Astyanax mexicanus: one gene and its partners. The protein of the gene in region 1 interacts with the protein of each later gene in a pairwise test. Links are inferred from orthologs where the notes say so. Each region holds a gene or a part of one and is shown in the gene's direction. Other genes may lie near its edges.

What was found. The genes of interacting proteins can lie anywhere in the genome.
Region 2: the proteins of mipol1 (region 1) and enkd1 interact in binary tests that used the Homo sapiens proteins (3 or more experiments, as listed by UniProt). The two-hybrid records come from large-scale screens. The link is inferred for Astyanax mexicanus from reciprocal best matches to the Homo sapiens genes MIPOL1 and ENKD1.
Region 3: the proteins of mipol1 (region 1) and cct3 interact in binary tests that used the Homo sapiens proteins (3 or more experiments, as listed by UniProt). The two-hybrid records come from large-scale screens. The link is inferred for Astyanax mexicanus from reciprocal best matches to the Homo sapiens genes MIPOL1 and CCT3.

What each region holds. Positions count from the first base shown.
Region 1 is NC_064421.1:18,849,520-18,857,370, forward strand, and holds the start of mipol1 (mirror-image polydactyly gene 1 protein), read left to right. Parts: upstream 1-4,815; 5' UTR 4,816-5,053; intron 5,054-5,411; 5' UTR 5,412-5,491; coding exon 5,492-5,586; intron 5,587-7,851. Other genes in the region: tyrosine-protein kinase receptor TYRO3, read right to left, coding at 1,007-1,064.
Region 2 is NC_064419.1:253,140-260,564, forward strand, and holds the start of enkd1 (enkurin domain-containing protein 1), read left to right. Parts: upstream 1-4,376; 5' UTR 4,377-4,461; intron 4,462-4,876; exon of another isoform or gene 4,877-5,012; intron 5,013-5,318; 5' UTR 5,319-5,340; coding exon 5,341-5,425; intron 5,426-5,603; coding exon 5,604-5,831; intron 5,832-6,228; coding exon 6,229-6,401; intron 6,402-6,538; coding exon 6,539-6,691; intron 6,692-6,832; coding exon 6,833-6,975; intron 6,976-7,179; coding exon 7,180-7,316; intron 7,317-7,425. Other genes in the region: vdac3 (voltage-dependent anion-selective channel protein 3), read right to left, coding at 3,567-3,667. UniProt on the Homo sapiens protein: Microtubule-binding protein which regulates microtubule organization and stability. Promotes the stability of astral microtubules and facilitates the proper orientation of the mitotic spindle.
Region 3 is NC_064413.1:41,352,277-41,359,502, reverse strand, and holds the start of cct3 (T-complex protein 1 subunit gamma), read left to right. Parts: upstream 1-4,177; 5' UTR 4,178-4,257; coding exon 4,258-4,285; intron 4,286-4,943; coding exon 4,944-5,005; intron 5,006-5,107; coding exon 5,108-5,158; intron 5,159-5,734; coding exon 5,735-5,797; intron 5,798-5,889; coding exon 5,890-5,986; intron 5,987-6,152; coding exon 6,153-6,270; intron 6,271-6,697; coding exon 6,698-6,884; intron 6,885-7,226. Other genes in the region: pdia7 (protein disulfide isomerase family A, member 7), read left to right, coding at 1-91, 576-684, 774-902, 990-1,069, 1,179-1,236, 1,499-1,588. UniProt on the Homo sapiens protein: Component of the chaperonin-containing T-complex (TRiC), a molecular chaperone complex that assists the folding of actin, tubulin and other proteins upon ATP hydrolysis.

The sequences.
Region 1 (7,851 bases):
CTAAATTATGATGATGTATGCACTCTTTTTTTTTAAATAAAAAAAAAAATACAGTTGGTCAGTGTTGAAGAAATCCAAAAGAAAATCAACATTAAGTGTATTGTTCACATAATTTATCACAATAAGATAAAATACCTTAGTTTTGCAGACCTTTCTGTTTCGAATACCACCAAACATGTTACAAGTTTGCATTTTCACAGCTTTAGAAGCTTTTGTACCCAAATCTGTGGTCTCCATTGTGCCAAAACCACTGCACAGACCTGTTCCAGTGCCCATGCTCTGACTGAGGCTAGCAGACGTAATGCAAGCTGCAGAAGGATGAAAGCTCTCCAGTGTGGAGGCAGACTACAGCTGGCTTCTACAGTGCTGCAGCTTCAGCCAGAACAGCCTAATCAATGCCTACATTCACTGCCTATGGAGGAACTAATGTGGGGACACTATTAGCTAGATGACAGATTCAATGTTAAACAAACACTGTGATGCCGAATAAAAAATGAAGATTTTTTTATGTATATGCAAAAAAAGATCTATTTTTTATAAAAGAAAAGGTAACCTAATAATTATTTTTTTAAAGCCCATTCAGCATGGACTGCAGGATTATTTTAGATTGCTGGTTTCTTTTATAAAGCTATAATTCTGCTTGAATACAGTCCAGAGGGTAAACCAGGCTGTTGTTGTTGTTGCTGCTGCTGCTGCGGTTTCCAACAAGTAACTTAACGTTAAAGTTATCTAACGTTAGTTAGCCAACCTAGCTAACCTAACTTGAGGTGTCTTTATTTTTTGTTTAAGTTACTTGTTATAAATGTACTTGAATGTATAAATTCAATTTAACAAAAAAAACAAAAACGAACTAATTTGGTAACTAGCTTATCTAAGTTAGTTAACCTAGCTAGCTTAGCTTAGCTTAGCTAACGTTAACTAACTAGTTAAGTTAAGTGGGCTATTCATTAACATTGTTTACACTCTGTTTATCATTATTTATCCACACAATTTTGAACAAACTTACCGTGAACTCCTTCACTATAATGAACGAGGATAAATATTATCCAAAACTTAATTCCCATTTTAGCATCCTCTGAAACGCGACTCGGTCGCTTCACCTCAGCTGAATCAACAAGACCAGCAACTTTAAACAGGCGCGGTTGCTGAATCGCTAATTTACTCGGTATTCGCAGCAGCAAGTGCCGAACAGCGGCAGCAGCAGCTCCACAGTCCCGTCCCCAGAGTCTCCAACGCAGCCAGCAGCAGCAGCAGCAGAACCCCGCTCAGACCTCATCCCCGCCTGAACACTCTCCATACTCCACACACAGCCGAGCAGTATCCAAACATCCCGGCTTCACGGTCTTGGTTCAGTAAAGGAAACTGGACGGAGCTCCTCACACTTCCAAATGTTTCAGCGCTGTGGGGGAATGTGTGAAATCCCACACAATGCCCTCTAGAGACCATCTGCTGAAAAAACACCAAAACTCAGTGGATCCAGCCACCACCTCAAACCCAGCTCTTACAGAGGGCAAACGATATACAGCTCTAAAACAATAAGAGACCACTTAAAATGATTTTCTTTGAATTTACCAAATTAAAAAACCCTGAAATATAATCAAGAGGAAGATGGATGATCACAAGCCATCAAACCAAGCTGTACTGCTTGAATTTTTGCACCAGGAGTGGTATAAAGTTATCCAAAAGCAGTGTGTAAGACTGGTGGAGGAGAACATGCCTAGATGCATGAAAACTGTGATTAAAAACCAGGGTTATTTCACCAAATATTGATTTCTGAACTCTTAATTTGATTAAGAACTTGTTTTCTTTGCATTATTTGAGGTCTAAAAGCTCTGCATCTTTTTTGTTATTTTGCCCGTTTCTCATTTTCTTCAAATAAATGCTCAAAATGACAATATTCTTATTTGGAATTTAGGAGAAATGTGGTCCGTAGTTTATAGAATAAAACAACAATGTTCATTTTAACCAAACATATACCTATAAATCATCAAAATCAGAGAAACTGATTCAGAAACTAAAGTGGTCTCTTATTTTTTTCCAGAGCTTTATAAGTATATAGAAATCACTGCATAAATATGCACAAATAAATAATTTAACTGATTTTCTCTACATGGCAGTTCCTAAAATCTCAACTGAAGAGTAGGGCCTGGTAGTTGCCAAGTGTACCAACAATCCAAGGCCAAATGTTTGCTTAGAACCAGGCCACAAGAGGCTAGCACAAATTGTGTGTCTAGTAACATGTTTGAAAAAAAGTGGTGGAAAAACAGTTAACCCATACGTACCATGTTAAATATATTTATAGCTATTTTCCTAGCTATAGGACCTCTAGGCCATTGACAAACAAATCTGTACATATCAGTTTGCATTTACATTTTTTGTACACTGTACCCTAAAACCCCACACTAAATAACGTTATCATTAAATGTGGTTTCCTTTAAGAGAAAATCCATCACTATCAAATGGCAAAAATAAATAACAGTAATGCTCTCATCAAATGTTTAGAATTTGCAAAGCAGATATTCAGTAAATAAGGCTTGTTCCCATTATTTGATAAGGGAGGAAATAAGTAGGTAGTGATCGTAGACCTAGGGGCTGGAACTTACCATAAAGTACCTTCTAATTTGGAACAGGATCTCCTCTCAGGAAGAGAAGCAGCCACACTAAATAAGTGTACACAACAGAGATAGATAGATAGATAGATAGATAGATAGATAGATAGATAGATAGATAGATAGATAGATAGATAGATAGATAGATAGATAGATAGATAGATAGATAGATAGATAGATAGATAGATAGATAGATAGAAACACATAAAAGTAAGAATATATTTAAACATAAATGTCCTTAGAAACATACTAAATAATTGTCTTACAATATGTTCTCGTTGTCATCTTGACCTTCTTTATTTCTATGATTTGATGAGCAGACAAATAAAGGCATTTTATCATCTCTCAGGCCTCATCTGTTCAGGCCTTGAAGATGTTTTTGCTGGAAGCTGTTTATGATTTTTATAGGACTGAGATGTTCTGCTCTTATCAGTACACTTTTCTTGTGCTGGGCAAAACTAAAAATAACAATAATGTGAGCTTTGACCACAAGAGTATGAGCTACAGGAAAACAAACTAAACTCTCCTCAGAATGGCCTACATGACCGTTTCACATAGCGTAAGGTTGTGTAGAGACATTTTCTAATCACTCATTTCTTTTCAACTTTTTCAGAGACTTTAAAAGGCATGAAGATTATTCAACTGCTAGAGACTGATTGTTCTTAGGACAAGGAGAGGACAAGATTATATGAGATAAAAACTTGTACACTCATCTTTATGCTGTTGGAGCCCAGTAATCTCTCTTTTCAGAGATGAAGAGCATGGTATTAATATGACATTGTTGATGTCATATCGATAGATGGCATTTCATGTTTTTAAGTTTAGTCATTAATATTAGTAAGTAATTAGCAAGATTTTAAATGAGATTAAATGGCACTAAAATATAGTAATAGAATTGTAATAGTAATAGAAATGCACTACAGGTCAGATGTTTTAGAACACCCCCACATATATCTGATCAAATATGAGATGCACAAAAATATAATGGCTGTAACCAAGTCTGTGTTACTTGGGGGAGGGAGGACATCCAACTAGTATTTGATTAATTCCCACTTGTTTCATGATGTGTCAGTGTGTAAGTGCCAGACATTTAAAAACTGTGGTGACAAAAGAGGGGTTAGGTGTAAAAGCTGTGGATGAAAGCTTGTCCTGAATCCACAACATAAACACTGTAGAGTATGTCTATCGGCATAATGTTACGTCCACATCATGTATTGCACTAATGTTAGTTGCTGTAGTTTAGTGCTAAGTTTAGTTGTAATGTTTTTAAATTTCCATCTTAAATAATAAAAATAGAAAAATATGTACTTTGACTTCCAGTCTCGGAGTAAACAACATTTCCTAAGTTTCAGACACAGTTATTATTTATTTTACAAATACATACATAAATTCATAATGGCTGTTTACAGCATATAGAGGGTAATTATTAATTACTAAAATTGCAGACTAATTAAACTCAATAAAACTTTATGTTAGAGTACAAATCTCATCCCTTATCAATTGGGGATGAGCCCTGCATTGTGTAAATTAGTTAATGAAGTTAGCTAAATCTTGGAAAGCTATTAAAATTGCTTAAGTCACATTTTATTTAGACCTAGTTTTAATAAATTAGCCACACTTGTGACATTATCCTAAAGGTGTAGAATCAAATGATCTGTTCAGCTGAGGGTGTAGGAAATTTTATGTAGGTGGTTATTTTAGGAAGGTAACAATATGAAAAATATTAGATTTAATTAATATTATTAATTCCTGAGCAGTCAGCATGTGTCTTCAGTTCCTTATAAATAAAACAGTGTGAAGGTTGTAAAGTCACATATCTGTTAAACATGCAGCAGCTACAAATAACAAATACAAATAACTGAAATGTATAAATCATTTAAAAGCATGTTAAAAATAAAAAAGGGTTTGTTGGGTTAGTTAAACACTTTAAAGGATTATTAAAAAGAATCGTTGCCAAAAGCACATGCTTACATAAAAAATATATATATAATGTACACGATCTAGAGTGAAGGTTAACATTCCTCTATGTTTCTAAAATGTGTTTATTCAGAGAAAGTTGTATTGTTACAGATTGGTGTAATCAATTTCAAAAACTATGCTTTAGAGACAAAATGCAGGTTATACTGAAATTTACCCATAGGACCCTTAAACCTTGTGTAGTGCACTAGGTAGCTGGTGATTATATAGGGAGCGATAGGTCGTTTGAGATTCGCCCAGACCTAGTTTGAGATGAGCGTTTTCCAAAACCCATCGTCTGTCCTCCTCTAGTGGACAGATCGCGTATCATCAGGTTTTCTGCTCTGTTCACTTCCCCCACTGCTCTCCTCTGGGCTGTGATCCGGAGCCTGTCCCGGGCTGTACTGTAGGAAGTCTCTCCGTGACTTTTACACAGTAGTGTAGGTAACGTACACAGAAAGTCAGCCATGCTCGCCGTGGTTTCCATGGTAAGTTACAAAGCCATGTTGATTGCGAGTCACTGAATGCTAACTTTCACTTTGATATTCAGCTCATAAACGGAATAATAACTTGCTCACAAATAAGTTTTGACAGTGAACGTAGTTAACTAGGTAAACTAGTGAACGAAATCACAGGTTATGTGTGGTATTGTTGTAACGTTAGTTAGCTAACTAGCTAGCCAACTGAGCTAGCAGTGAAGCTAAGTTAGTAAGCTAGGTGAGCTAACTTAGCTAACTTAGTAAAACTGGTTGCTAAAACTTTATACGTGTTTTATTTTGTGCTCTGCTTGTGTGTCACCGGCTCCCCGTCCAAAGGGGGTTTGTTGTTTCTCTCCTGTGTATCAAGTTGCCTGTAGGTTAAGTGTAAACGGAGACGCTGCGTGTAAAGTCCTGCTGTCAGATAGAGTTATCTTTCAGTTCTGACTCATGAATTTAAGGAGCATGGCACACGACGTTAAAAGCGCTGTCCAAAGGGCGAAACATAAAATATCAAGTCTGGAGAATGAGCTGTATTGTGCGAGGTGAGTGCTGGAGTGTTTAACAACTTTCTGAAGCTCGGTGTGAAACAAGAAAAAAGAAAGACTGAGTAAAACACACAGACACACACACAGCAGACGTTTGGTCTAGTGGAGCTATGGTTATAAATTTATTGGTTGTTCCTTTTTTTGCACTAACTGAGTCTCAAACTGAACTTAAGGGATCTTATTTGTTTTCTTGGCTTCTTTTGTGGGATATTGTAATAATTAAGAGTATTTAACACATTTGACCAACACTGCAAGCCAGCTAGTAATACCAACAGTGTTGATTGTTAGTGTGTAGTGTCTTTATAATATTTAACTTATATATAAATCACTTGAGACAAATATATTTACATTACATTGTCTAAACAAAGACTTTTAGGGTTTTGATGTGAAATTGTTCATTGTGTAATAGAATTACTAGGGTCTGCTTCCAAAATGTATGTATGTATGTAAGTAGTGGTATCTGACAACAAAAAGTATGAACTATTTTCATTTTGATGAATGCCCCCACATGCACCTCCACTATGGCTGTATGCTTTTTTTGTGAAAGAATTCAATGTAAAAGTAAAGCACCATTATTTTATATTTCACAGAGGTGTATATTAAAGAAGTATAATTGCTGCACTAAAATGTGTACCTGCACTCTACTGGGTAATTATTCTTTTTTACAAAAGATGTTGAGTACTTAAATACTTCCGCAAGTGTGATGCTTAAAGAACACTTCATCTACTACTTAAGTCCATTTTTGATAAAGCACTTGAGCTTTTACTCAAATCTCATTTCATGAACTGAAAAAGTATAGAAAAATAGTAATAGCAAATTATTTTCACAGATGTCTCACCTTGCAGAAATTTAATTGTTGTGAGGAGTTTGCTTGTAAGATGTCCTTCTCTTCACTGTTCTATTAAAGAACACTGCACAGTAGAATAGTGCATCTCCACTCCTGCGTCGCTTTAACCTTCGTGAAGGGCGTTGCTATCACATGCGGATTTGTTTCACCTTTCTTGCTAACATTGACTTCCACAGTTTCCTTAACTGCTATTGAATTAATTTATCAGCTGAGAGCACTTTAATTCTTTTTTATGCGCTTGCCCTGCTTTGTGGACATCAGTTAGCTGCTAAGAGAAGTCCAAAGTTATTGAGAACTCAAGGTTTGCCATTTAAGAAACGTATCATGCCCCAGAATTATAATATGCAGCTTCCTTATGATGAGCATTACCTGCCAAACCTGTACTAATTAATTGCTAGTTTAAAAGTACAGATCCTGAATACTTGAAATGTTTTTCAACCTCTCTTTGTCCCTCAGAACAGGTGTTTTTTGTTACTTTGTGTTTGATAGCTTTGTAAATGTGCTCTAATGTTTTGCTTGCATTTAATTAATTTTCTGGAGCTCCAGTTTTAACAGTTGTGGGTCTGTGAACCCCAAATTCTTTGTTCGGATTTGTATTCATTTTGCCACTTTTTTACTACTGCAAAGTTCTGCTGCTGCTGCCACTTAAAATACCTGTTCATCTGTTAAAGAAAACACTGAACAATGACTTTAAATAAACGCCTCCTTGTTCAATATAAACTATTCAGTCTTTTAATTTATTAACGTTTTTTCTGGGGAACATGTTCGGTTGCCAAACAGTTCTCTAACCCTTTTTATGCCTTGGAATAAACCAATAGTTTATGGTAACTTCGTTATGGTTGTACAGTAAAAGTTGTTCCATTTTTCAGGCAGCTGTGATTTTGTTGCTATAATAATCCAATAAATGCTGTGTATGGTAAGTGGTTGCTATGGTATTCCAGATACTTCCTATTGTGTTGCCATGATATTGGTAGATGGTAGTTTCTAAGGTTTTGCCAAGTGTTGCTACATGCTGTATTGTATTGTGTTGCTATGTAACTGTTATGGCATTGCTGTGTGGTTGCTATGTGCTTGCTGTGGTATTCCAGGTAGTTGATAGGTTGTTGCTGGCTTTGCTCTATTTTCTGGCTCAAACATACATAGTCCAAGCAGAGTAAAGACTTTTGGCACCACTAACCAGATACCCCTCGAGAGAGTACATACAGTGATAATGGAGCAAATGGAGCAGACTGGATTTAACCATGACCTAAAGTACAGTATTAGCATTTGTTGTTGCTAAAGGAACTATGTGGTGGAATGACTTGGTGATGGAGAGTTTAGCGATAGATCTGCAGCCGTTTTTGACCAAAGTTTTTGTATCATAGCTAGAGTAGCAAACGTTGTGCATCCCATTCATTCCTATAGGAAAAAAAAAT
Region 2 (7,425 bases), on another chromosome or scaffold:
ATATCATACACAATAATATCACCAACAGTTTTTAATATGGTGAACGATATATGGAGATATTTGGAGTGCATTATTATTATTATTATTATTATTATCATGATATTCTGGATCATCGACTTCTGTTACAAATCTGAAAAAAAATTCTTGTATTTTTTAATATCTCAGTTAAGGGTGTGCCATATCATATCATATAATATCATATGTAATAATAAAATTAAATTTTCATTCTGTTGCAGTAGTGTATTGTTAAAATATTTTTTTCAGTGTTTTGTCATAGAGTCGCCAGGAGTATCGTTATCGCTAAAAATACCAATACTGTGATATTATTTTAGGACCATATCGCCCACCTCTACACTCAACACACTGATCAAACAGTGATTCCTTTACCTGACCTGCTCCCACTCACCTGTAGGATGATATGGCCAACATTTATATAAATTGTACACACCTTAATTTCAGTCGAGATTACATACTATACGAATACTAATACTGATATTAGTATGAATAATATAACATCCACCACCTGGAGGACAGAATCACACACTAATACTCTAGTGATGAGATCATCTCAGCACAAGACTGATAAAGAGCCGTCACAGCCCCAGTCTCAATCAGCCTGATCTCTATATCCTATATCAGATCAGTATCAGATATCTACCAATGAACAGATATTATATTATATTAATAGATATAAAAGGAGAGTAAAGCTCCAGTCTGAGTCTGAGACAGAAGAAGAAGGTGTTATGGGTAAAGGAGGAGGAGTGTGAGCTGCTGACACATCAGTATCTGTATCTGCTGAACTCTGAGTTTAACTGAAGCAGGTTTTAGTGTTGAGTAATAATTCAGTATCAGAGCTGCTGACAGGCTGAAACTGAGGGGTGATGATTCTCCTGCTTCAGGTACAGCAGAGCTTTATATACGCTGGTCTAACAATGACCTGTGAGGGCTGGTGTGTGAGGGGCAGTGTGTGAGGGGTAGTGTGTGGTGTGTGTGAGGGGTAGTGTGTGAGGGGTAGTGTGTGGTGTGTGTGAGGGAGGGGATAAGGTCAGAGCGTTACAGAATTAGAAAGATATTAAGCAATCACATTTACTATAACACACCCACTGCTACCGTACTACTGAAACCTGATCAAACACACAAACACACACAAACACCACTGAGCCTGAATTAGGGCCATATAACTGACTCCTAGTCATAATATGTTTCTATAGTTTTATTAGGAAACAATAAAAATGCTGCATTTAACTACAGCGCATCAGTCCAATTCCTCTGAACTAGGAATTGTGGACTAATAATAATAAAAAAATATTTAGTATAATGATGTATATACAGTACCTGCTTAATATGTTTTATGACAGCAATGTCTAAACGTGCCGCTACTTTTTCCAACATATATTTGTAAAATATTTTACTTCTGATAAAACTCAGATTATATCATACATAAATCCCTAATATAACTGTACTTCTCATCACCCACATTTCTATTAAATTCACATGTTCAGTTCTACACCACTCATCTCTAACCACAATACGAAACTACAACAAACTCCTGTAATATTTACCTCTTCTGTGGAAAAGCCATGCCTTCAGAGTGACAGAAAAAAATCCAACAAATACAAAGTTGATTCTGATCATACATCTGAAGCCATCACATAAATTACTTATATTATTATATTATAAGCATGCAATAGTCACATGCAGGGCATGCAATGGCGTGTAAGGAAAATGAAACTTGATTGATATAAAATAAATATTTGTACTGCTTTTAGGTCTGTCACAATAAATGTATCTCTTCAATATTTTTGATAAGACAATTTAATGCCAATTGCACAATAATATAAAATAGCATAATAATGGTAATATACCCTTATATTAAGATTAAGAATATTTTTAAATCATTTATTGTGCCCAACTTGTCAATAAAAAGGAAATCATTAATGTCAGGGTACAAATTGTAAAAAACGGATATTAAACGTATATTTCTTCGGATGCCAATAAACATATATATTTACAGAGAGATGTTGTAGCTGTAACAGGCCAGTGTTTCTTGGTCTTTTTTGGCACATAATAAATACATTAGTATTGGTTTAATATTCAGTATTGGTTCATTGTGCATTCCTAATTTTTAATATTGCCATTTATACAGGAGATTAACAATATACTGCAGTTGCCTTTTTCCAATATTTTGCAGCCCTAATCTATATTGCATATCTGTATCTAACGTAATCAATACTGATCAATACAAAAAAAGCTAATGCTAATGTATTGGAAACAGTGAAATTAAGGTTTCTGCTGTTGATATACAGTAATTGCATCTGAACCCACATATTCACATTCACATTACACACTAACACACTTGTACACACACACAGCAGCTCTGCTGTCCTTCTTTTACAGCCCACTGTAATGCGCATGCTCACAAGAAACATGTACCGTAGCTATAGAGAATAAAAAGACCCAAATAATGTACATATAGTTTATATGTAAAATATATTCTAACGTTCAGATAATACGTTATTTTGCAGTTTACTGTGAGTAAAGTATCAGAGGCAGCTCTGGGCTGTTTCATAGAGGGCCGGTGTTCTGTCGATTTATGCTACCCGTCGATACGTGCTTCCTAAAGGCACTGCGCATGCGCTAACCAGCGCGTTTTAATTATTTCTCGTGCTTTTGTTTTTTTACAATTAATCTGTTACAATCTGAACTCACTGTTATTGCACAAAGGTGTAAAAGGAAGTTAATAATTATAAAAAAATATATATATATAAAAAATACATAAGCAGTTTTGTAAATTACCTCTCATTGCCTTTAAATTAACTTTACCATGATACAGTGATTAATGCTATACAAATATACTAACCTACATCTACTGGGACTTTCACTGCGAACATGCTCTAATATAAAGCTTATTTTGTATTTGTACAGTTAAATATACACTAGGGTAGCACGGTTTGACAAGGTAGCAAAAATCGACACAACACCGGTCCTGCATGCACACAATAGGCTAATAGGCGAGAGGAGGAGGGGGGGATTATTTAATTGCTCTCCGTTACATCAGAGAATAAACAGGAGCAGAGAAAGATAAATATCACTGCGTGTTTTTGTGGAGTTGAGCTTTTATATACGAATAAATTAATAAATTACCTCAGCTGTCAAATATAAAACAGGAGACTGCAGATAGGCAGGCCCTGAATAAACCTCTTATCTCACACTATAGCAGCGATATCGTGTACTATACTACACAAATAATCTCTATAAATAAAATAAATAAGATAATTAAGCTTAATAAGCAGTGTGAGCATTCACACGCACACCCAGCACGCGCACAGAGAACCAGAGAACCGGAGAACCTGCAGGCGCTGCAGGGCTGAGCTCGGTTAGTGCACGGGGCAGGAGTACGGGAGCTGTAACGGTGGCGCGGCCTCGGTAAGAGCCCTGCTGTCTCCCTGTCCTCCTGTCCCTGTCTTTCTCTCTGACTGTCTCTCTATATCTCTCTGTCTGTCTGTTTGCAGGCCTGCACAGTAAACCCTCTGCAGACGCAGGGCGGGTGTTGCTCGGGCTCTTACCGTGCTCTGGTCTCCGGTCTCCGGGCTGCGGGACTCCGGTTCTGAGAGAGGAGGACACACTGAAGGAGAAACAGGCGGAGAGGGCAGGACGCGCCGCGCATGCGCACTCCTCTCACTCTCCCGCCTATCCGATCCCGAGTAGATATTAGGAATAAACGATGTTCTGTCGAGTTATGCTACCTATCAATATGTGCTTCTTTACCGCAACATTTTTATATGGTAATGTTTATAATGTTTTATGTTTATGTCACGATAATTCCTAGAATTCCTAAAGAAAAAAGAAACAAATAAACAGTAAAACAATAAAAATATATAGTTTCTAATCACGTATATGACATTCACTTTTGGACTTTACTTTATACAGTGATTTAGCCTATCCACATATCCTACCTACGCTTTTGCTGAGAGTATTTTCTAATATGGTGCTTTTTTTGTAACGTTACTTTTATCTTAAAAAAATTGTCCTAGTTCCTAGATGATAGTTTTCTACAATGATCTACAATTTAATAAAATTATAATATTAAAATAAAGAAAATGTATGGAGCCCACAATGTGACATCATGTTACATCATTTTTAAAAATAAATTGATTATTATTTTTAACATGATGTCTCCTTAGGGGCTCCGTATTAAAGTATTTCTTTATTATTATTTTGTTGTGTTTTTAATCTTTGTTAATGTTACCGCTTTTAACATTAAGCAACATTTATTAATCGCAATTAATGCAAATAAAACTGTTACAATGTTTTAAAAATGTAATAATTATTAAAGAGGGGGAAAAGCGGCGCTGTGTCTTTAAGCCGTTGCCATGGAGATAGACTCGGCTTGCTGCGTCATCAGGCGGTGTGTTTACGGGGCTGAAAACGGACTGAACCGAAAACGCGTTTAAATTACAGGTAACTTTATTAATCAGCCTGTTATTAATCAGCCTGTTATTAATCAGCCTGTTATTAATCAGCCCTACTGTTATCCGGGTTCAGGGTTAATTTATACACCGCTGAGTAATTCTGATCCGGACCCGCGGTTTAGCACAGCGCTCACACAGCTAGCTTTTATCTGTTATATATACATTATATCTATTCTATATACATTTAACACCGTATTAACCCCGAGAATATAAGTATAGTGCATTGTTATATGTTATAATAAATATATTAGATAAATATTATAAACAGTACTATTCAATGTCTTTCTTTATTTATTAAATGTATTTATTCAATAATTTGAATGTATGTTGGAGATTAATATATATAACTCTGTAGTAAAGAGTAAAAAAGTGTTATTCCTCCACATTAATCTCCTGATCTAAAGCTGATGATCTGAGATGGTGATTTGAGGTGATTTAATTGGGATGAGCTGGAGCTTCACAGCGTGAAGGAAAAGCAGCAGCTATTGTTCAGCACCTCCAGGAACTCCTTCCTTCAAGATGCTGAGAAAACTATTCCAGGTGACTCTAAATCATGAAGATACTGAGATTAAAAAAAACAAGAGTCTGCAGATCTGAACTCAAAGAGAAAGCCTGTGTCCAGACTGGTACTGAACACAAGATGAAATTTAGAAGAAAAATACCCTCATACTAAACAGATTTTAGTTTTTGAAGTGTGTGTGTATTCACTTTGTACAGTGGTATCTTAGTTTTATTCTACTTGTAAACATATTTGTGTTGTAACTCCTATAGTCTGGTGTTGATCAGACGCTGCTCTCTAGGTACCGTCCTCATCATGTTCTTCTACCATTGTAACTCTTGGTTTAGGAATTAAGGGACTGGAGAAATCATGTGTGAAGGACCTTCGATGATCTCTGGGCCCATTCCACCAGACCCCTCCCTCTTCCCCGAATACTACAGACGACCTACTTCTGGTAGGGATTTGGAAGTTATTTCACCAAACAACACCATAATAAAACATCTCTAAAACTGTATTTGTGTTCATACTGATGTCAGATGGTGACTGTGATCAGTTTTTTCATCAATCATTTATTTCCTTTGTGTCTTATCTTAATGTAATGTTATGTACTGTAATGTTTCCTGTCTATGAAGCTCGGGGTCGTCTGGAGGGGAATTCTAAAAGTGGATCTTTAACTCTAAATGGACCCTTAGCCCCAGACCCTGCTCTGCATCCAGGCTGTTACAGCGCCCGCCCCGCTCATCCTCCTCCTCGCATCGGCCCAAACGCCAAACACATTCTAGAAAGAAGCCAGAAAGGAGAGGTGGGGGCTCTCCTTAAACTGGAGGGAGTCTGCCTGAAGCCCCCCCCTGTTAAACACAGTAAGATTTAAAGCTGGGGATCACCACTGATTTACTAAATCCACTGTAAATCATCAATTCTGATTTAAAATATCCCTATTTGATTCAATATCAATTCATTAAGGTACATTTCAGTTACAATTTCAGGTTTAGCTCAGTCCATAACACAAAAAACAGTGTACATGTAATAAAACATACACATCGGCTGTGCTTCTCACACTTTTACACAACTTCAGTATCAGAAATCACTTTAAAAAGGATTTTTTATTCTAAAAATTAAATGGATTGATTTTCCTTTACTCTGAATATTAATATAACTGTGTCTGCATTTAAGGTGCAACAAAAACTCAAAAAAAGGAAAAAAATGCTTCACAAAAGAAGTTACATGTTAAGTTTTCTCTCTTATTTTTCTCCTCAGAACCTGCAGCTCAGGATTATGGGAAAGAGAACGTGCGACGGCTGCGTGAGATCCAGAGACGATTCCGTGAGCAGGAGGCGCAGAAAGAGCGAGCAAAGCCGGTTCCTGTCAAAGCCCTGTGGAGCTCTCCCAAATACCAGGACATCCCCTCCAGGGTCATGGCCCAGTTACAAGTAAGTATTTCATTTTTTTGGATGGAATTGAATGGAATTGTTGTTCAGCATTAATGTATAGTAATAGAGTAATGTATATTGTATAGTTTATAAACTTTGTGTGCTTGTGTTATCTCTTTCTGTACTTCTGTCTGAAGGAAAAAAGCCACCCCAAAAAGGCAGAATGCCAGAACTTCCTAAGAGCTCACTCTGTGTGTGGGGCGGGGGGTCGGCCTCAACCTAGTCGGCCTCAGTCTGTGTCGGCATCACCCTCTGAAAACGGGCAAAAACCTCAAACAGCAGATCCAGAGGTAAACTCACACATTCCTATAAACATACACACTTACACTGTTTATAGAAAACTGCTTATAACTGAAGCGAATGCAGTTAATTTCGTATACAACTGTGTTTTCATGTTATTAAAAATGAATATCTGATATCTCCTGGTGTAGATGGAGGTGAGAGGACACTTTGTTGACTTTGTGAGTCATAATGCACGCGCTGCGAGAAAGACCGCACTGAAACGCTCTCAGTCTCTACAGGACCTGAACAACAAGCAGCCGCCGAGCGCAGTGAAGGGCCGAGTCCCCCAGTAGTGAGTGATCATATCAAATATATTTAACACAGATCATAGAACATACATATTGACTGAGAGTTAAAACAAACCCAGAAGCATGATTGGAGCATTGTCTCTTTATTACAGTATTTACAGTATCTGCCCATATCAGTGTGTGTGATTGGTCATTGGTATGTTTTTTAATTTTTGCTTCTCTCTTCCTCTCTCTCTCCTTTGTTTTAGTCTGGAAGAAAGAAAGGAGCAGTGGAGGAGAGAGGCAGAAGAGAGACGGAGGAACGCTCCTGACCCGTCTGCACCTGCTGGACACACTCAGATGTCCGACAGAGAGAGGAGAGAAACTCTAAATTCACTCAGAGAAAGTATGTTTTCGCCAAAGCTCTAGTTACAGCTAGACCTGTAGACAACTACCGTGTAGAGATTAAGCTAGCTAACAGATTAAATAGATTAAAAGCATTTAGATTAGCTAAT
Region 3 (7,226 bases), on another chromosome or scaffold:
AGTTTGGGCTGGGGCTTTCTGGAGGAGAGCTGCCTGTCATCACCATCAGGACCAGAGCAGGACAAAAGTACACCATGCAGGAGGAGTTCACGTATGTATCTTTTAAAAATAACTCTCTGAGTGCAGACAGATAAAAATCTGTCACCAATTAGTAGATGCAGTTGATTTCTGTGCAGCCTTTTAGTAGGACTCTCAGTAGGGAATCTAAAAGAAAGATTTTTTGCTGCTCTTTCAATTATGGATGAGGGAAATAAGACAGAAATGCATTTTTAATAAAATGAAACACCATTTATTTATAAATAAAATCTTGAAATGTTAAAGCGTAGGCACCAAACATATTACCTTAATTTCAAGTGTCAGGTGTTGGAATTAATTTATCTAACGTATCAGTAATGTACTGATAAACCTGAAAAGCTACATTGGTTACATTGGTGGCATTGGCCAATTGGGGTGGTATGAATGTCAGTAACCAAATGTATCTGCTAGAAATAATGTTGCGTGTTGTATCATGCGTGTTGTATCATGATGTTATTTTTTTATACCCAGTATATCTTGTTTGTGTTTGTGTATCACAGGAGAGATGGTAAATCCCTGGAGAAGTTCCTAGAGGATTATTTTGCCAAACGGTTAAAGCCTTACGTCAAATCGGAGGCTGCCCCCGAGTCAAACGGTGGTCCTGTCAAAGTATGTATTAACCTATAGATACTGCAGTACCCTATTAAATGTAGTACAGATTCTATTTTAAATAAGTATTTTTTTTTATTCATCAACAGGTTGTTGTAGCAAACACATTTGAGGAGATTGTAAACAACCCAGAGAAAGATGTGCTGGTGGAGTTTTATGCTCCGTGGTGCGGTCACTGTAAAAATTTAGAGCCTAAATATACTGAGCTTGGAAAGAAGGTAATACATGTTTAAACTTATTTAACTGCTTTGTGGTCAGAGTATAATATTTCTTATTTTGTAATATGATCTGGTATTGTGTCTCAGCTGTCTAGTGATCCCAACATAGTCATTGCTAAGATGGATGCCACAGCCAATGATGTTCCTTTAGACTACGACGTACAAGGGTAAAGCTTTTTAATGTCTTATGCATTCTTGATTACCGTACTGCGTTTTTATTCTAACATATAAAATTAATCCTTAAACTGTTTGTTTGTTTGTTTGTTTGTTTTTTAGCTTTCCAACAATTTACTTTGCACCTGCTGGACAAAAAGACCAACCAAGACGTTATGAGGTATGTTCTTACTATAGCTGTTAACCTGTAAAAAATACACTTAAGAGTCATTTAAGAATAGAATTATCCTTACAGTATTTCAATTAAATTAGCATGTATTTAATTTGTCTAAGCACTATATCTAAATTGTAAAACAAAATTTGTATACATTCAGCTTGATACAGGTCTGCGTGTGAACTTTACATCTAGAAAGAAAGCATATATCTATATGTTCTGAACTAATACAGCTTTATTCCTTTTTCTATTGCATTTCCTCCTTAAGGGTGGGCGTGAGGTTAGTGACTTCATCAGCTTCTTGAAAAAAGAGGCTACACATCCGCTGGTCTTAAGCACTTCAAGAGATGACCTCTGAATTTGACACAACTACAAAAACAAGAAGAGTTCAGGTGCTGGAGATACAATAGTGAATGTGCTGTGCATTGGGCTCTGTGAACTGAGTGCCTGCTCCAAGCGTATTGTGGCCTGAAACAAGCACTGCTTATAGTAGTTTCCAGAGTTGTGAACTCAACTCACGTAACTTCCATCTCAAGTCACAAATTTGATGACTTTTTGATTCGACTCGACAGAATAAAAAATGCAAATAGACTTTAACTTTACCTTCACTGACTTAAACTTGGAATCAGACTGACTGGAAGGCTTTAAGACTTGAAAAGACTTGGAACTGTTGTACTGATGTTGTATTAATGGTGCAGTATCACTGTAAGGGCGTCCTTACAATAGATGTGCCTGAACATTTTAAGCGCTGAAATGAATTCATACTAGATAATTTATTTATATTAAAGCTATTATGGTTAGGCAAGCTTATAGCATTACATGGGGACTATCTTAATAAGCTTAGCCTGTTGATCCATATCTCATCCATCACCCACACAAAAGTTTCTTATAAGAAGACTACTCCAAGTTAAAATATGTTTCATGTCATTTTTGCATTTCACATTATTTTTAAGTCACAGGTCATATATGGTTTGTTTTGATATTATGTTATTGTAATAATATACATCCCTGCATAGGGGCACAAACTAACTGATCAAAACATATATGTTGTTTATTTTTGTTTAAATACATACAAAAAAGACTTTTAAAATATTTATAGATGATAATTTTATAATATAAATCAGCTGTGAATCAGCTATTCATTTTGGAATTGCAGTTGAAATTGAAAACATTGGCTGGGATTGTGAAGCAGCAGAGGTCAAAAGTACTGGTGCCTTTCACTATTTCTTCCAAAGTGAAAAGTATTAAGAGTTTATGCTGCTTTTATAAGAGTTACTGTCACTACTGTCCAGGACAGGCACTAAATGCATCAGGAACTATATGTGTATGTTTTAAGATGACATTTTAGGCATTAAGAACTTTGATAAATCCTCAAGAAATGTTTACAGTGCGTTTCTCAAACCTGATTTTTTAACAGGCCAATTCTGATCACATGTAAGGTCCCTTTGAAAAAAATGTGTGTTTAAGAGGAATGTTATGTTTAAAATTGTGTTTAACAAAAATATTTTAATTCATTGGGTATAAGATTAAAATATAAGATTAAATGGTTGGGTATTATATCACATCATTGTAAATTGTAAACACAATTCAGATTTCTCCACATAAAACACCTTTGTATTTATGTTTTAAGACATTAAACATTGTGCCACTGGCTGTTGTTAACAATTTGTTTTTACTGTATTTTAAAGGCTTTCACACTAGCTACACTAGCACACTGCTGTGCTAGTTTGGAATCTGTAGGCTTGAGAAGACGTGCTCCTTAAACTAATTCTTTAAACACTGTCTTAAATGAACTGGATTCAGATGAGTGGGTTTTAGCTTTGGACAGTTGGTAAAACTGATGGCACTTCTACACTACCTCATTATGCCTGAATACCTTGTTGTACCTAAGTGATTTCTTGTGTCTTCAAAAAAATAATAAACATGACGCTAAATTATGTTGTGTCAAAAATTGTTAAAGAAGCTAGTTTAGAAACTGGTTGTTAAAGGCCTGCTTATACTACTGAGAATCAAATTATTAACAATTAAGACAGATGGACCAAAAAGTATCCTATAAGTAAATTTCGATATAACTTTTTCAGTTTTTATTATTATAAAATAGTTTTACACTATTCTAATATATAAATACATTACATTAAAAAATAGTGTTCTAAAACTTTTAACCGGTAGTGTACATATTGATATTGCAGTAGGCTTGGTCTTATTTGGAATCAGGTCATAATAATACAAAAATACAATGAAACTGTGAATCTTATCATCATGCCTTTATTTTTTGTTTGTTTTGCTATTAAAAATGTAGTGATTATATATTCACAATGACAAAATCAGCAATTAACATAAGGTATTTATTAGGTTTCTTCACACCTGTCTAAAAAAAGAGATTGGGTTTTTTTTTATATACGAACAGCCCATAACAACAGTCTATAATGAAATTAATAATAAAATAGTTTCTAGAATTCAAATGAATATGTGATTAAAAAAATGAAAATACAGATTATATTTATTCATAATTGTATACAATTGTTTGGGCATTATTTGTGTTCTCTATACATAATTTCTTCATGAAGATAATTTCCTTTTTTTTTGTGGAGCCCATATTGGGCCATATGTAACTTATATACTGTTTTTTTATTATTATAATATATTTATTATAAATTTAGTCTATTTTTAACAATCGTATCTTTTTATAATATTAATAAAATATAAAACATACTGTCATATTTAAAAAATCTGTATCATGACTTTATATGTACCGCTAGTCTGTTTCCTGAAGACCTTCAGACGGAAAATTCTGGTAGGTTTCTCTAAGCCCCGCCCCCTGAACGCTCCTTCCCCGCTCTTTATTCACTCCGCCGCCCTAAAACGCTGAAGCTGATGATGTGATTGGTTGTAAGAGGTGCATGTCAGTGCTTCTTTATCGCTGATTGGTTCGGACCATTAGCGAGTCGTTGGCCCCGCCTCTCCCGTTCTCTCTTCTTCATCGTGCGTGCGGATTTGGGTGCCGGCTAACAAAACCACGCTGCAAAGATGATGGGCCGCCCGGTTCTCGTGCTTAGTGAGAATCTTCGTTTTTGTCTGTTAAACGTGTACAGTGATAAATGTAGCGCGAGAGAACCAGCGGGCCGCTGAACTGCGCTGTTTAGTGGATGTTTTACTTTGTAAAAGCCGGCAAGGCTAACAGGCTAACATGGGCATGGCATGGTCACTGGCTAGGCTCGGCTTAGCGTACAGTAGTTAGCTTAGCTTAGCTGAGTTTAGTTTAGTGCATTGTAGCCTGTGTTGTCTGTCTTAGTTGTTTTAGCTACTTAGCTGTTAGCTATCTTAATTTATTTGCCAGGTTTTATAGCTATATTTGAATATGTAATCTATCCTATAAATGTTAGCTAGCTAGGTAACTGGATTAATTCATTGTGGATAATATTGTTGTATGTGTGTGTTAGCTACCGGTGTTTAGCCAAACCTGACATTACTTTGCAAAAAGTAACTGTTTTAAAGGGGAATCTCACCTGGATTTGCCTGATAACTGGATTTGACGTTTGTTTAAGAGTCTAAAACAGATTTTCTATCTTAAAATCTTGTCAGCAAGAAAATTAGAGGACTTAGTCTGGAAATGAGGGATGTCTTGGTTTACTAGGCAACTACAATAATGACTATTAGCATCTGTCAATCAGCTAGCTAACTAGTGTGTCCATTGTGTCCTCCTCTTGCTTTAGGCCAGAATATGAAAAGAGAGTCTGGAAGAAAGGTCCAGACTGGAAATATCAACGCAGCTAAGGTATGTCCTCAACTTCAATCTAGTGTATAGACTCTCTTGTTTCATGTGTCTATGGTTACAGGTAATGTGTTCTCTCTCTTATAACATGTTATTTAATTTCAGACCATAGCAGATGTAATCAGAACATGTCTGGGACCAAGAGCTATGATGAAGGTATGTACCCTGAGGGCTTCAGCATCAGCTCTAAGCCAATCATGTGATGAAATACTGTGGACCACACCCTTCCACTTTTTTTCTGTTGTGTTCATCTTTTACGATAATAGTTTAATTTGTACTTATTTGTGTTGGTCAAGTTGAATAGTATCTTATTTGATTTTATCATGGATGAGTGGAAAACAAAACTGATTGTAGTAGCAACTTGTGCAGCTCTGTTGAATTCCATGACCAAGAGGATTAAGGCAGTGATAGAAAATAACAGTACTTGCACAAAATATCGGCTATGTTAATTATAAGATGTACTCATTTATGTTGTCAGCGGTTTACTGTTATATAAGCTGTCCACCGACAGTTTTAAGTTGTATCCAAGTTTCTGCAATTTCTATAGTATTGTCGCATAAAAAATATATAATTAGTTATTATCAGAAATGTGTGGGGTGAACTTACTTTAGTGAGATTCTGTGTAAGTATAAGATGTTTTTTTTACATAAACATTTGCTCCCTTTTCCTTTTTTAGACCTGAATTATGTGAGATCCATGGTTTTAAATGTTGTGCCTCTTTTATTTGTGCAGATGCTGCTCGACCCCATGGGAGGTATTGTCATGACCAATGATGGCAACGCCATTCTCAGAGAGGTATTTTAGAACTCTGAAAGGATCTTAAGGTTTGTGCAGTTGGTTACATACAGCATAATGCATCATTTGACTCCCATTGTCATTGCCCTCAGATCCAAGTGCAGCACCCGGCAGCCAAGTCCATGATAGAGATCAGCCGCACTCAGGATGAGGAGGTGGGAGACGGTACTACCTCTGTCATTATCCTGGGTAAGTGTTTGCTTGTCATCATCTCTTTGCTGTCATCTCCTTGTATTATGTGTGAATGTGGGATCAGATTTATTTACTGTTAACAGATTTCCAGTGTAAAAGCCCTTAAGGACTGCTTGAAAAAGATCATTATTACAGTACAATAAGATGTGGTGTTTGTGTGTAGCTGGTGAGATGCTGTCGGTGGCAGAGCAGTTCCTGGAGCAGCAGATGCATCCTACAGTGGTGATTAGTGCTTACCGGCAGGCTCTGGACGACATGCTCAGCATGCTCAAAGAGATCAGGTATGGTCCTTTTTAGCAGGTGCTTGGTTTGTAGTTTTCAAAGGTCTCAGGTTGAATGTGTAAAATAATTGTAGATTGTTACTTTATTTATTTGTTTTTAATTATACAATTATTCAGATATACTTTAAGTTGTTTATAAATGGTTAATTTATTTGTTTAGCGTTAAGCTGAAACAGTATTTTTATTTGAAGCATTTCTGTGTGGATGGACATTTTAAAAGTAGTGTGCTCAAATCCTTAAACACATTTCAGCTCCACTAGAAAAAAAAATGCGCAGCTATAGTCACATTGTAATTAAATGCTAGTTAAGCTAGATTTGTTTACATATGTATTCATGAAAGTATGTACGTTAGTTTGCTCAAGTGGCGTGCTCATGCAGACACTGAATATGACATCGCCAGTAACCTCAAAATACTGCTTTCCTGCAGCACTCCAGTTGACCAGAATGACCGTAGCATGATGCTGAAGATCATCAACTCCGCCATCAACACCAAGGCACTGAGCCGCTGGTCAAGCTTGGCTTGTAACATTGCTCTGGACGCAGTGCGTACCGTAGAGCTCGAGGAGAACGGCCGCAAAGAGATCGATATTAAGAAGTATGCCAAGGTGGAAAAGGTAGGACGACAATGTTTTTGGTACATTCACAATCAAATGCTTGGCTTAGCAGACAGAAATCTAAGTATCCTTTGTAATGTGAACATGTGCTCAGTTTTTGAAGATATTTATTTGTGGTATTTTTTGTGGCCTTCTCATGGTTGGTTGTTTTATAAGCAAAAAATATTTTAAAAATTTCCTTCTGTTACTTAGGCTTGTTTTTTGAGAGATCTCCACTAATCTTTGTTCAGAGTTGTTCTTGAAATCCAGAACATTTAAAATATATATATTATTCTGGTATAATTTTCTGTGGAAGGACAACTAAGGTCTGGCATGAATTTTGGAAGTTGTGATGTAATAATA